Mytilus edulis: one gene and its partner. The protein of the gene in region 1 purifies or fractionates together with the protein of each later gene. This does not show direct contact. Links are inferred from orthologs where the notes say so. Each region holds a gene or a part of one and is shown in the gene's direction. Other genes may lie near its edges.

Region 1 (7,324 bases):
CAGCAACAGAAATAATAAAGATAAAAAGAGGCACCTTGAGGATACTGTACCACAAACCATCACTAAAAACTAACATTTCAAATCAGAACATGATGCCAGATTGACAATATAATGGCAGTGTTCATAAAAAAAGATATAGAAGGATTTTAAGTTTATCAAAGTGTACAGATACTTTCAATATAAATTATCAGTGTCATCCTAATGGTCATAGAAAGGAGGGAACTACAAAAGAAAAGGTACATGGTTTTCGAATCAAGAGTTATTTCCCCTACAAAACCTAAATATACACGTGTATAATTTTCTCAATTAAAAACAAACTTTTTAAATGTTTTGTGTACTCCTTCGTTAACACATTTAAACAATAACAAGTACATTCATTTACACATGGGATATTTAACGTCATATAAGAAAGTCTAGTTTCTTTTGTGGCGCAAGATGGCCTGATAGCGTCCCCAACATTTTATTCACTTTCAAATTGCAGTTTGACAGTAAATTACATTCAAAAAGGGTTAATAGCAGTTGACCAAAATACACAATGAAGATGTTATCGTTAACTTACCACTCAAATTTTGGTCTAGTCGCCTAAACTTTGTTATTTTCGATTTCAGTTCTCAACCACGTTTTGCATCATACAGCCACGCATGCGCCCAAAAGACCGGTCTGTTTCCGTCTATGAACTAAGTAAATGCAAAAACAAATGTCGGAAACTGATCTGTAATGTTAACGTATTATAAAAGGGCACCTGTTACACCAAGATTTTGTTTACTGTCACTGACAAATCCTTTGTTACACCCAGACCTGCCAACTTTTAAAAATCTCCATGGGGGATTTAGTGCGCGACCATATTTTTAAGGGACAATTTTTGCGGCGTTTCTGTGTGCACTGTTTTTTACTCTTAAAATAGTCTCATGTCTCTTCTTTTTTCTTTTGGTATACTGATGATGATCTTATAAGCCTTGATTTCTTTAATTGGCATGATTCTTGTACTTATTTTAAAATTGACAAAATAACTTAAGAATAGAGAAAAATGGCATTAAAAAAATAAAGGATACTTAGTGAAAACCCCTTTTTCCCCTCCAAAAACCTTATCTTTTGGACCATGACTCAAAAGACATAAACCTATATGTCCTAAAGTTAGAAGGATAAATACAGATTTTGATTAAGTCTATCAGTATTAATGAGAAAATGGATAAAAGTTGAGTTATCTTTCTTTGTGTTCGGAGGTGCTCTTACCGGCGGAGGTTTATTCACAGTAGAAGAATACAAAATGGCGTCGATTTTAAATCAACAGACACATGTCTGATTTCAAAAATTAAATGGATTTCAAGATAAACAATGTTTTTTTAAGAGTTCAATACAGTTCTCATCTTTAAGTTAATTACGATTTCGTTGTGGAACTACGGTAAACGTTGCAAATTGTGCTCGTATGATAAATTGATTAAAAATGAAAGGCCAACTGACCGACTTTCTGTTTACAAATAATAATATTAATTAATATTGAGGATTGTTATGACCAATCAGGTAATCCAATTACTTGCAACAACAAATTATGACACCTGTTGTGACCGTTGATTAGCGTAGTATTGTAAACTTGTCATAATATGTCCCCAGGTAAAATTATAGATTATCAGAAAAACTTCAAAATCGGACACCAAATAATTTTTTCGGGTATATTTTGTGAAAATCGGGATTTTGACTTGTTTTAGAATCCCGATATCGGGATTCGGGTTGAGGGATGAAAATCGGGATGATACCGCGAAAATCGGGATAGTTGGCAGGTCTGTACACCTAATCTGTTAACTTTTCTCTTTTTTTTACTTTTCAAAATAACGCTTAGACTTTTAAAAATTATAATTTAAATGAATCAGGCATGTTTCATTACATGGCGAATAGTTTATTCAATATATGTTTCGAAAAAGTTATTTTGACGAACCTCGTTAAAATTTTAATCTATTTGAAGCTAACAGCAGCCGAAAATGACCGTTTGACGTTTGCCGTTTGATACGTTTCCCTCAGTTTTAGTTTGTAACCCGGATTTATTTTTTCTCTATCGATTTATGAATTTCGAACAGCGGTATACTAGCTGTTGCCTTTATAATTAACCATTTGTAATATATCTATGAAAATTTGAAACTCACTATTGAAAGGGTAATAGATCGTAATAATGCCCTATACCGTCAGGCGTCAAACGGCCATTTTCGGCTACCGTTAGCGTGAAATTTCCGTGATTCGTCAAAATATCCTTATCGTGATTCGTCAGAGGTCTCAAATAATTATCGTTACCGTTATTTGTGGAAAAAAATAACGTGAAAATCATTCCATTTTTTTGGGTCTAAAATTAAGAAAGTGCATAATTTATCGTCATGCACCAAAAATTACCGTTAACGTCATTTGGCAAGAATTTTTTACCGTTATTCGTCATGAAGGTACCCCCATTACCACCCTCTATTAGTAATACTTTAAATTCCTTTCTATACAAAACCATTTCAGTCATAAATTTGAAAATGTGCATGCTGCATGCTGCATGCTTGTGTGCTATTTCTAATAGTGTAATAATTCGATTAAAAAATATTTTCAAAGCCAGTATTTTATAGTGAGGCATTATCATGAACAGAATTTCATAGTGAAATATTGTCCAGAAGGAGGTGACAAAATTTCATGGAGAAAGTCACTATTTCATTATGAAATACTGTCAGTGGACAATATTCTATATGAACTTTTGTCCGATAGACAATATTTCATGGGGGACATGTACAATATTTTAGGTTACAAAATCGGCATGTGGTAATATCGGATGCTCCTAACACGCACTGCTCCATATATGACACTCATGTCATGATGATCATTTTAAGTCTCGCTCAGTTATGTCCAAATCGAGGAAAATAGGTCGGGAGATTGGTAATTCGTTAACGAGCTTCGAATACTCCCGATTCCAAAACGTTTGACAAACCACTATTTATGCAATCTATAGCTATTCCTGGGAGTAGAAAGTCGTTTATAATTCAGTCAGTGAACAATTCAGAGTGTAGAAATTGTTAACATTTGATTGATAAGAAATATGGCCACATCAATGGTAATTAATAGGTGCATCCTTGGCGCTATTTTGCCGACTCCGGCAAAATAACTTTATTTATAAATAGTTTTGCTATTTTGCCGGTTTTAAGATCAAGACTTAGAAGTATACAGATTAAGAATAGAAAAAATATAGAAATATACACTTGGAAAAGAAACCTTATACAAATAAGTCTTCTATAGCACATTTATATATACAAAGCGTCCATATAAAAGTTTATATTCTTTATTTTAATTAGAAGTCTCTAAAACATGTCTTTTTTAAAACATTTTAAAAGCATACATACTAAAACTGATACTAGTTTTCTTTTCTTTAAAAGGAAGTCTGTAAACAATCTGTATTGAAATAGAAGATATGCATTGTTTACTACTTACTAAACATGCAAACCCATATGAAAAATGATAACTCTAATTCTTTTATTGATAAGCATATCATATTAGTTTTTATATAAAAATTCAACAACATCAAAATGCTTTACAAGATAAACATAAATATCGTGTGTACATATGATTTAATGAGCCAGGTCACTATAAGTGAATACACCAGACCTAGGACCCAGGATGCAAGGCGAAAACAGAGTAATTGATCACATCTAGCAACACATATCATTTATGCATAAATAGTTTCAATAAATTTGGATTTCATATATAGTCATATTAAAATCGGAGATAAGACCAGCAAAATAGTAAAACTCTATATAGATCGCTATTTTGCCGGAGCTGGCAAAATATCCACTGCCTAATTTATATCAGAGACATGTAATACGTGACAAAAACAGAAGTCATTACTAACTGCTGGTAGTGTGAACCACTATTTGACCGTGATTTGTCGTGCAGTTTATATATCCAAAGTTTTAAGAAGAAGTCAAAATACATCTAGTTCATATATGTAATAAGCTTGAATGTGATGTTTGTATGGATTTATACTTACCTGAGATATGTTCTATTCTTGAATCTTTTAATTATGAATAGGATCACATTTTTTTGAATATTCTAAAAGTATTTGTCTATATCCTCTAGATAGGTTTTTTTGTCATGGTTAATCATACTACATTAATTTCTTTTTTTTTAAATAAATTGTGGCAAATTACCAAATTACTTCTAAAAAAAACACCCTTCATCCGTATTTAAAACAGGTTCGTATCCGTCGTCCGGTAAAAGTTTTATAAAATATCCGGTTTTCATAGCATGCTGCCTTGACCAAAAAAAGTTGACCTTTCTTGGATTTTATCATCCTTTTTTATTCAGAGTGTGTGACAACAACATTTTTGAGCAATATATTCTTTCTTAACCACCACAAACGCCATAAACAATGTCTTTTCTAAGTAAAATTGGATATCTAGGCCTTGGTGTTGCTCTAGTCGGTGGAGTCGCTCAGACAGCATTATACAACGGTAAACTTCATCTTTTTGAAAACCTTATTTCGTCTTGTCGAAGATGAGTTTGACGTACTAAGATATTGTGTATATGTTAAATTTGACTGACCGTAGATTTGAGATTCGTAATTTAATTTCTAAAATGTTACACAATTATGTAATCAGCTGCACAGCCACAGGTCTAGAAGTCATGTGGGTTCAATAATCGATTCAGTGCCAGTGGTCCTTATTGACCTTCATATTTCAATTTTATTTTAGTATAGTAGAAACAATACTGGCTCTCAGAGGTAAAAATTAACAACAATTGAAATGCATGTGAACTCAAAACAAGGTTGCAGTAAAGTAGGTCATTGACATTGTTCTGGCTTTGATTTCATCACCAGACCTATAACTTACATCAGGTGCAAGACAACTAGTCACTGAGATAAAATGTGCTGATTTCAAAGAAAAGACAACTCAGAACATCTTTTAATTATAAAAAAGAAGATGTAGTATGATTTAAAAGTCATAGTCCGCTATAAAAGTCATCTTGGACCGTCAATACGTAAACTCTGACCATCTATACAATCGACTTGGACAAAGTTATATTTAGTATAAATAGGAAAGATTTGACTACATAAATGAGTTTCTTACATGAACCAAACTTTTTCTCAGAAGTTGGGCTGTCATAATCACATGATAACTCAAAGACTTTAAACAATGATTAGACAAATCAGACTGTGTATCACAACTTTTAGACAATGTTGTTTGATCAGGTTTTATTTAGTACCCAGTTGTCTCTAGGCTGAGTTGTCCTGCATTGTTAACATCATGACATGCATGATTTTTTTTAAGGTTTTCAATATTAAAATCAAATTTTTTATTGGTTAAAGAACACGTATATATATCACAATGATAGAAAATGTATTCTTTTCTATTTTTTCAGTTGATGGTGGTCATAGAGCAGTTATATTTGACAGATTCAGAGGAGTACAAGACATAGTTTCTGGAGAAGGGACACATTTTTTGATACCATGGGTACAGAAACCAATCATATTTGACATTCGATCAAGACCAAGAAGTGTTCCTGTTGTTACAGGAAGCAAAGGTAGGAAAATTTTCCATTGATAATAATATACAACGGAAACTATCGAAAAAACTATTCGTTTGTGATAACTACTAACTACCAGTGGCGGATCCAGAACTTTTCCTAAGGGGGGCCCGCTGACTGACCTAAGGGGGGGGCCCTCTCCAGTCATGCTTCAATGATTCCCTATATAACCAAATTTTTCCCACAAAAGGGGGGGCCCCACCCCTGGATCCGCCTATGACTACAGGATGTAGCTGATTAACTTGATTGTGTTTAAATCAGATGCCTGGTAGATAAAATAATTTTAAAACATCCTAGTACATTATCATGATTATGTTTTGCTTATATTTAAAGGGGTTATGGCATGGGGTATATAATAAATCATTGAGATAGCAATCCATAAGAAATAAAATATACATTTATTAGGGCAACATTATTTTCATTTAGTCTTCAATGATAGCATGATTTCAACTTGTTATCAGAAGGGTAAAAAACAAAGAATATTGAATTGTTTTCTTTTAAAGGAATGTTTCAGCCTCTGCTGCAGGGGAGGGGGTATTAAGTTATATCCTTGTCTGTCTGTTCGTGGTCCATACATCAGTTTGTCTCAAAATTGGCTTTGTTTTTTTGTTCTGAAAAACAAATGTTAAGAAACTCATACACAATGCCTAAATTACATGTACCTCAAAACTCAGATCAAGTAAAAATTTGGGTAGAGTCGCTTTTACAGAACTTTCTTGAGTTGACACATTTCCCGTATATTTATCGTGTTTATATCATGCATATTATTTGCTTATTTTCCCAATTTTGTTAGTATACAAAATCTTTGCACTTTTCTATATGATGGTTTTTGAGAAATCAAAGAATAATCATTTTATGTTTTCAGATTTACAGAACGTTAATGTCACATTGAGAATTTTATTCAGACCAAAGGCTGATGCCCTCCCAAATATATACACAAATGTTGGTCTTGATTACGATGAAAGAATTCTTCCATCCATCACAAATGAAGTCTTAAAGGCTGTAGTGGTGAGTAAATTTGATTAGAGATGCAGCGTCTCTTGTTAACATCAAAAGTATGTGTTTGATTTCACCAGAGCTATCCTATTTCCTACCGGAAAATCACTACACAAATGAACGTCTTGAAATATATTGTCTATTAAAATTAGAAAAATGCAAAGTTATAGTATTGTAAAACAGAAAGAGAGAAAGTTAATGTTAAAAGTCAAGCACACATCTGAAAACTGTTTCCGGAATATGAAACTACCTGGCATACCCTTACCCTTATTCCTTCTGCCATATTCCATTTGGCTGTATTGAAGTAATAATATCTCCAAGATAGACAATTTGATAAACTCAATGGGTAAAAAAATGTAATCTGAAACAAAAATCCCTTTTCTACTGATAATTTTATTTGCATGTTCCTCATTCAACATGTTCAATGATTGCGGTTGACTCAAAAATCTAAATTAAGCACAAACACATTTATTTAATATTTACATTTTTTTCAAATTGTCAATACATTGTTAATTGTTAAATGTAGCCTTGAAAGAACAGAAAATAAAACCCTACCAATCTGAATAAATATAAAGTAAATCTGTATAAGAAGATATGGCATGTATGGTATGAGTGCCAATGAGACAACTCTCCATCTAAGTCACAATTTGTAAAAGGTCAAAGTACAGTCTTCAACATAAAGCCTTGGCTCACATCAAACAGCATGAACAGCAAGCTATAAGGCCAAATAAAAATATATGTGTGGTTCCAGTTACAAACTTTTAAAAAATAGGGTCGGTTTGTCGCCATT
Region 2 (7,421 bases), on another chromosome or scaffold:
ATATTCTCTTAGTAATAGGAATAATTCCAGATTCCTTAAATAGTTCACTGGATGGTTTACGAATATCGTGTTCGTTTAAAATAATTCTAGCTGCCCTTTTTTGCAATTTTAGTAAACTGTCAACTAAAAACTTGTTACAGTTTCCCCATACTGAACAACAGTAATCCAAATGTGAAAGAATATACGCATTGTAAAATAGAATTCGTGCATTGTGATTCAAGAATTTCTTGATTCTTTTTAATAAAGCTAATGAAGAATTAACTTTTTTGATTATATGATTAATTTGATCATACCAAGAAAGAGTTTTGTCAACAAAAATACCTAGTACTTTTTCACAGTGACTTTCATTAATCTTTTGGCCATTAATGGATACATTTAATGTGTCATTACACATCACAGACAGTTTTTGTTTTGAACCTATACACATTGTCTTAGTTTTTGACACATTAACTAACATTTTGTTTTCATCAACCCATTGACAAATATTTTCTAATACAACATTGAGTGTCTGACTTATATACCTTTTGTCTTTTCCAATTACAGAAATAGTGCTATTATCAGCAAAAAGATCAAGATAATGATTAGGATTACACAAATGCAAATCACTAATAAATATCAAGAATAATATAGGACCTAAAACGGACCCTTGAGGTACACCTGCTTTTAATGTAGATACATCTGAAAAAGTATTTGAAATTGATACGACTTGATGTCTATCAGCTAAATACGAAGTAAACCAATGAATAGAATTATAAGAACATTTATATTTTTGTAATTTTTGAAGGAGCAGTTTGTGATTTAGAAGATCAAAAGCTTTACACAGATCTAAAAATACTGCCCCTACTAAATTTCCTTCATCAATGGCTTTTAACCATTTATCTAACAAAGAAGTCATAGCAGTTTGACAGGAATGGTTTGCACGAAAGCCTGATTGCATGACATACAATAGATTATATTTGTTTAGAAAATTCATCAAATGAGTTTTTACGTGTCGCTCAAGGATCTTAGATAGTAATAGTAAAATTGCAATAGGTCTGTAGTTAAAAACATCATTTTTTTAACCTTTATTTTTTAAATACTGGTAAAACTTTAGCCAGTTTGAATAACGATGGATATACTGATTTTCTGATGCTTAAATTAAAAATGTGGCATAATTGAACTGAAATTAGGTGTGATGACATTTTTAAAAACTTTGCACTGATATTATCAAGACCTGTTGCTTTTTTCTCATCAAGTGTGATTAATTGATGGAGAACAAATTCACTAGTTATTTGTGGTATGGTAAAAAAGACATTATCTGGTACACGACATGAAATATAATTATCAAGTTTTCCAGAACAACTGGTGCTGTGGTTTGAATTAAGATTAACATTTTCAGTAATATTTGAAAAATAATTATTGAAAGTATCAGCAATGCTTTTAGGGTCTGTAATTGGTTTATTACTACAGTCATTTAAGATTGCATGGTCATGATGATTTTCACTACCATTTACATTATGCAAGTGTTTCCATAATTTGCTTCTATTTCCTTTTTCTTGTTCTAATACTTCAGTATAAAAATTTTGTTTTGAATTTTCTATGAGGTATTTAACCTTGTTTCTCCAAAATTTATAGTTATATGTGTCTTTTTTCTTATGATAATAATCACGTTTTTTCATGCCCTCCATAATTTCATCATTTATCCACTGATTTTGATAAACATGCTTAACTCGCTTTTTAATGAGAGGAGCATGATGATTTAACACTTCAGTAACAATATTTATAAAACTTTGTAGCTCTTCATCAGGGTCATCAATTTCTAGTATACTGTCAAAGGAACACTGAGATAAATGGTGAATAAAATCAGTCTCGTTGAAATATTTTGTAGATCTATAAGTTATATAATCATGAATTTGCTTTTTCGTTTTAAACCCTCTTTTATGAGAAATACATACTGGATAGTGATCACTGATTGAATATTTTGGAACTGCAATATAATTAATATTTTCTGGCAGATAACAATACATATGGTCAATTAAAGTAGATGAAGTTTTAGTTACTCTGGTAGGTTCTGTAACCATTTGACTCATGTTGAAAATATTTTTGATGTGTGACCACTTAGCATGGTTTTTACTTGACATTATATCAATATTAAAATATCCCATAACAATAGTTTCCTTTTCTTCAGTGTCAACTTTTAACATCATGGTTTCAAACATAGTAACCCAGTTAGCATAACTGTTAGGTGGTCTATATACATAACCTAGTAAAATAGGCTTTTGATGAATATTAATAATTTCTATCCACATTGACTCAATTTCTTGCATTTCCAAATCGTCCCTTCTAAGCGTATTTATTTGATTTGAAGTATAAAGTAAAAGCCCACCCCCAGATTTATCAATTCTGTCTTTTCTATGTAAATTGTACCCTAGAATAATGATCTCTTTATTTTTGACACTGTTTGACAAAAAAGTTTCACTCAAACATAAAATATGCGTGTTTGACTTTGATTCCGAAATTAAGTATTGTATTTCTGCAAATTTTGGTAAAACATGGTTTATATTTAAGTGACAAATGTTAAGGTATTTGTGTGGGAATATAAAAGGATTGATCTGGGTATATTTGGAGGATTCTGATTTTTGCTCAAGAAGAAAAATAGCAATACACATATATACAATGAGAATGACTATAGAATGATATAAAATACAATCGTTTGCTTGACTTGAGCAGATTTTAAAAGTTTCTTCTAATTCCAGACGTCTGGACGAAATGAATGTGGATGTTAATAATCTTGATTGGTTGTCTCTAATGGCGCATATCTCCTCCCTGTTATCCTCTCCGAATAAAAATTTTGTTCAAATTGTGAATTTGAATTGTACAATCTAAGAATTGTGTTAACAAAAGAAATAATGTTATGGCTTAGAACTTTAGCACCGTCTACGTTGGTATGTACATGGTCCTGAAAAAGTAATTGATTAGGACGATTGCCGTACAAAAAGTCTAACGTGTTATCCAGTATTTTCACTTGATGTCTTCAACTGTTAGTAACTGCTGGTTGACTTCAGAAATAATTTGGTTTGACTTGTAATCTGTAGGCCTTGGTAGAATTGATGAAATAATTATTTGCGTTTCCGGTAAGCTCTGTTTCACCGTGTGAATAAGATGATGGATTGAATACGAAAAGTAAACATAGATTCGGCTATTTTTTTTATTATCTTCTAAATCAATAAGTTCTATATGTTTGCTGCAAATCCTCATCTTCAAACGCATTGGCCGTTCTTTATTTAGCGATAGTCTACACACATATCTTTGTTTAATGACTTGTGATGTACGATCCAAAATAATGATTAATAATTCCATACGAAATTCCAATGAGCAAACTATTTTCTCGATGATTTCGCAATGTGTTATAGTTCGCGCGAGATGCAGGATTTCCTTTACTATTCTATTTTTAGGATTATTTGTTTACAAAAGGTAATTTATGGTCAGATCGGTTCTTTTTATGTTGTAGTGTAAACGCATTGAATTACATAAGATCGATCTCGTCCATTAAAGATACATTATTTTTTTTTAAATGCTTCCCGAGAACTTAATCTTATAAATAAGTATCTCATATAACTGTTTCAAATCCCACAATCACGGGAATAACTAAGTTCGGGTACATGCATGTTTTGTTTATCAAATGTGAATCAAACCTGAAAATTCGGTGTAAACAATATTTTTGTAACTCGCAACTCGACTTTCTTAACTCGCAGCTCGACTTTCTTAACTCGCAACTCGACTTTCTTAACTCGCAACTCGACTTGTGTAACTCGCAACTCGACTTTCGTAACTCGCAACTCGACTTTTGTAACTCGCAACTCGACTTTCGTAACTCGCAACTCGACTTTCGTAACTCGCAACTCGACTTTCGTAACTCGCAACTCGACTTTCCTAACTCTCAACTCGACTTTCCTAACTCGAACTCGAATTTCTTAACTCGCAACTCGACTTTCATAACTCGCAACTCGACTTTCTTAACTCGCAACTCGACTTTCTTAACTCGCAACTCGACTTTCGTAACTCGCAACTTGCAACTCGACGATAAGAAACCCTCAGTCACATAAGTCCCGCTCGACTTCACACTATACAGATTTTATAAGTCCCACTGACCTTGACTGCTAGTTAAAGTTACACACACTACATGTCTGAACTACTCTATTTAGAATTCAGAACTATGTTACAAATTAAACAAACGTTAGTGGTTGTTCATCTGCTGACATATTACACAATAAAACTGAATCAAATGTTTCTTTTTGTTCAATTATCAGGAAAGTACATGCATATTCCGGAAAGTGGACCGGAAAAGTTTTGTTTGTTATATCGAACTGGTTTACTAATTTCTTCAGTCCTATTGCTCAAGGTTGAAATTTTTAATTGAATTCAGTAGAAAAGTATTTGCATGCTGAAATCTTCTCCCGGTCTTACATAAACATAATTAGAGGATAAACCTATGTATTACAGATAAAATGTTTAAAACACCAAGCATCAGAAGTGCAAGACTAATAAAGGTAATTTTAAAGATCCGTATTCAGAAATTATAGCAAAAACATAGAAGTCTTTTATCTGTTTGCCGTGTCAACAGGTTGGATAGTCTTTGAAAATGAAAGGCGAAATGCCGAAATCGATGGGTCACTGTGAAAACAGTCTGATTATGAGAAAATAAAGGTTGGCAGGTAGGTTAAACTTACATAAATGAAGAGATAAATGAAAAATGAACAGATTGATGCCCATTCATATAATTCCAAGGCCGCCAGTCGGCACCAGAAGCGACGAAGCAGCGCATCTATTTTGGATGGGCAAGTATCCACTTTTTGATATGGGATGAGCTCTGACGTCCCACGGCCCCAGCTTGTCTGGCAAAACAGCCGTTGGACGTCAGAGTAATCTCTGACTACAGGTTGGAAAGATCCACAGATAAAATTGGGATCAGCATTTATGTGTATATCTACCCAGGATCTCCTGTAGTTGGTGATCGCAATACTGGTATAAAAATTTTGTACCAGTATTGTATTCCAGTATTGTACAAGTATTGTGTTTTTTTTTTAAATAAACAATACATATATTAGGTTATTCATCTTGTATTAAAGGTGTCACATACATGTATACATGTATATGCATGATGAAAGTAACATATGATATGACATGAATGATTGTATGTTTTACTTCAGATGATGCCAATGATGATACACTGCGATTGTCATCAAAGAAAGTGTTAAATCTTCTGATGTTTTTTTTCTTAACATGCTTAAGGGAACTGTACATACTGTCTCAGCATTTTAACAAACTCTTTACTTTCTGCTATGTTTTCTTTCTTAGACTAATAGTATGTTTTAGGGAATTTTATATTGGCATGGCTGTTAGGCAGCAACCATTTGATTTTCTGGGGGGGGCTATGGGTTTTTTTTCTGTGCAAACTTTTTTTTTCGCCTTCGGCGAAGAACAATCTATTTTTTTAGCGACAAACCGAAGACAATTTTTTTCTTTCAATTTTAGCATTACATATAGTGGCAGCTGAGGGTGAAACAAACAATTTTTTTTACTCAGGGTCCAAAACAAATTATTTTTTTCACCAAAACCTGGAAACAAACTTTTTTTTCCAAAAAAAAACCATAGCCCCACCCCAGAAAATCAAATGGTTGCTGCCTTACAGCTTCTGTATCATCAGCATTGGAATTGTCTGCTTTTATCATTTGTTTATTTTATTTTATCTAAATTGACTTAAATAAAATATAGAAATATGATAAAATTATTAGCAATTGTTTGATTAATATATACAATGATATAAGTTAATTACAATAATCTTTTGTTTATTTGTACAAGCAAGGATTTGTATAGTATTATTATACAAATCCTTGGTACAAGTATAGTAATTATTTTTAACTGGTTGTTAATTAATTAATTAAGTTCACAATTATCATCTATATAATCTTAAAAGTTTATTTAATGTCCATTTGATCTTTAATATCTAGATTTGCTTAAAATTCATTGCGAAATTCTTTAATTTTACTTTCCGATGTATTGATGATGTTTTATCATTGAACAACCCATACTTCAGCAAATACTTACATCTCATATATCCCAGTGAACTTGAAATTAAGGATACTACTGATACTCGAAGGACTGCTTCATACCTTGATCTTTTCCTCAATATTGACGTAGATGGACGACTTCACACGAAAATCTATGATAAACGGGACGATTTCAACTTCCCAATTATCAATTTCCCATTTCTCAGCAGTAACATACCCTCTGCCCCTTCGTATGGTGTTTACATATCACAATTGATACGTTATTCACGTGCTTGTTCACACTATACGGACTTCATATACAGGAGTGTGCTCCTTATGCAGAAACTGCTCCAACAAAGTTATGAGGAGGACAGATTAAAATTGACACTCCGTAAATTTTATGGACACCATCACGAATTGGTGGATCCATATGATGTCTCTTTAACCAAACTAGCTAAGGACATTTTTACCACATGGTAGATTGTGGTTTGTCATTATGTCGTCTAATCTTTTAATTACCAACTGTGACTTATTCCCGATTGTGACTGTTTTGCTGAATGTGAATTCGCATTACTATAAGACGTGTTTCTGTACTTGTTTATCCCAAATTCATGTATTTAGTTTACATGTTTAATGTTATATTTGTAATTCTCATCGGATTTTGTCAAATGTGTTGACGTCTTTTTATTATATTTAGGTGTTACGGATAGAAAAATTAATCACCGCCTTTATTAATTATATTAAATTTTGTACGATTATTTACGTTTGAAGTTGGATTCATAACAAACTGGACATATATATATTACAGTTAATTGCTATTAATAAGTATTGCAATATGCATTTTGTTTAAATTAATTATCAGTATTTAGTTCTGATATAATCTTAAATCAATCCTAATTCTATCTCACTTTGATAGTTTTTCATATGTGACGTCATGCTGTTTCTAAATTTCATAAATTCAAATGTGGCATAACGTTTGTACCTTTTCGCCATCTTATGTGACGTCACATTTTTGTAATTACGTTGACGCCTGGACTGATTCGGATGTGTCTATTCTGTGTTAAACTTTAATAGCATTATGTATTCGGGTTTAGTTTTCTGTAATTAGTTAATACTTTAGTTTCATTATGTATATCTCTTTCATATTCATTTGTTAAAATTTACTGTTTGCAATAGCATAAATTGTTCTATATAATAAGGATGTTCTTATCCCGGGCATAAAAACAATGCCGTATTTGGCAAAACCTTTTCAACTTTTGATCTTCAGTGCTGTACAACTTTGTACCTTTTTCACTTTCGATCTTTTATATCTGGGCGTTATGTATTCGGGTTTAGTTTTCTGTAATTAGTTAATACTTCAGTTTCTTTATGTATATCTCTTTCATATTCATT

The links.
Region 2: the proteins of prohibitin 1-like (region 1) and stomatin-like protein stl-1 purify together in Homo sapiens (affinity purification with western blotting; 3 studies listed by BioGRID, with this or other methods). This does not show direct contact. The link is inferred for Mytilus edulis from reciprocal best matches to the Homo sapiens genes PHB1 and STOML2.

What each region holds. Positions count from the first base shown.
Region 1 is NC_092357.1:67,337,432-67,344,755, forward strand, and holds the start of prohibitin 1-like, read left to right. Parts: upstream 1-4,225; 5' UTR 4,226-4,384; coding exon 4,385-4,466; intron 4,467-5,373; coding exon 5,374-5,535; intron 5,536-6,403; coding exon 6,404-6,546; intron 6,547-7,324.
Region 2 is NC_092347.1:39,484,484-39,491,904, forward strand, and holds the start of stomatin-like protein stl-1, read left to right. Parts: upstream 1-4,376; 5' UTR 4,377-4,487; coding exon 4,488-4,529; intron 4,530-7,421. UniProt on the Homo sapiens protein: Mitochondrial protein that probably regulates the biogenesis and the activity of mitochondria.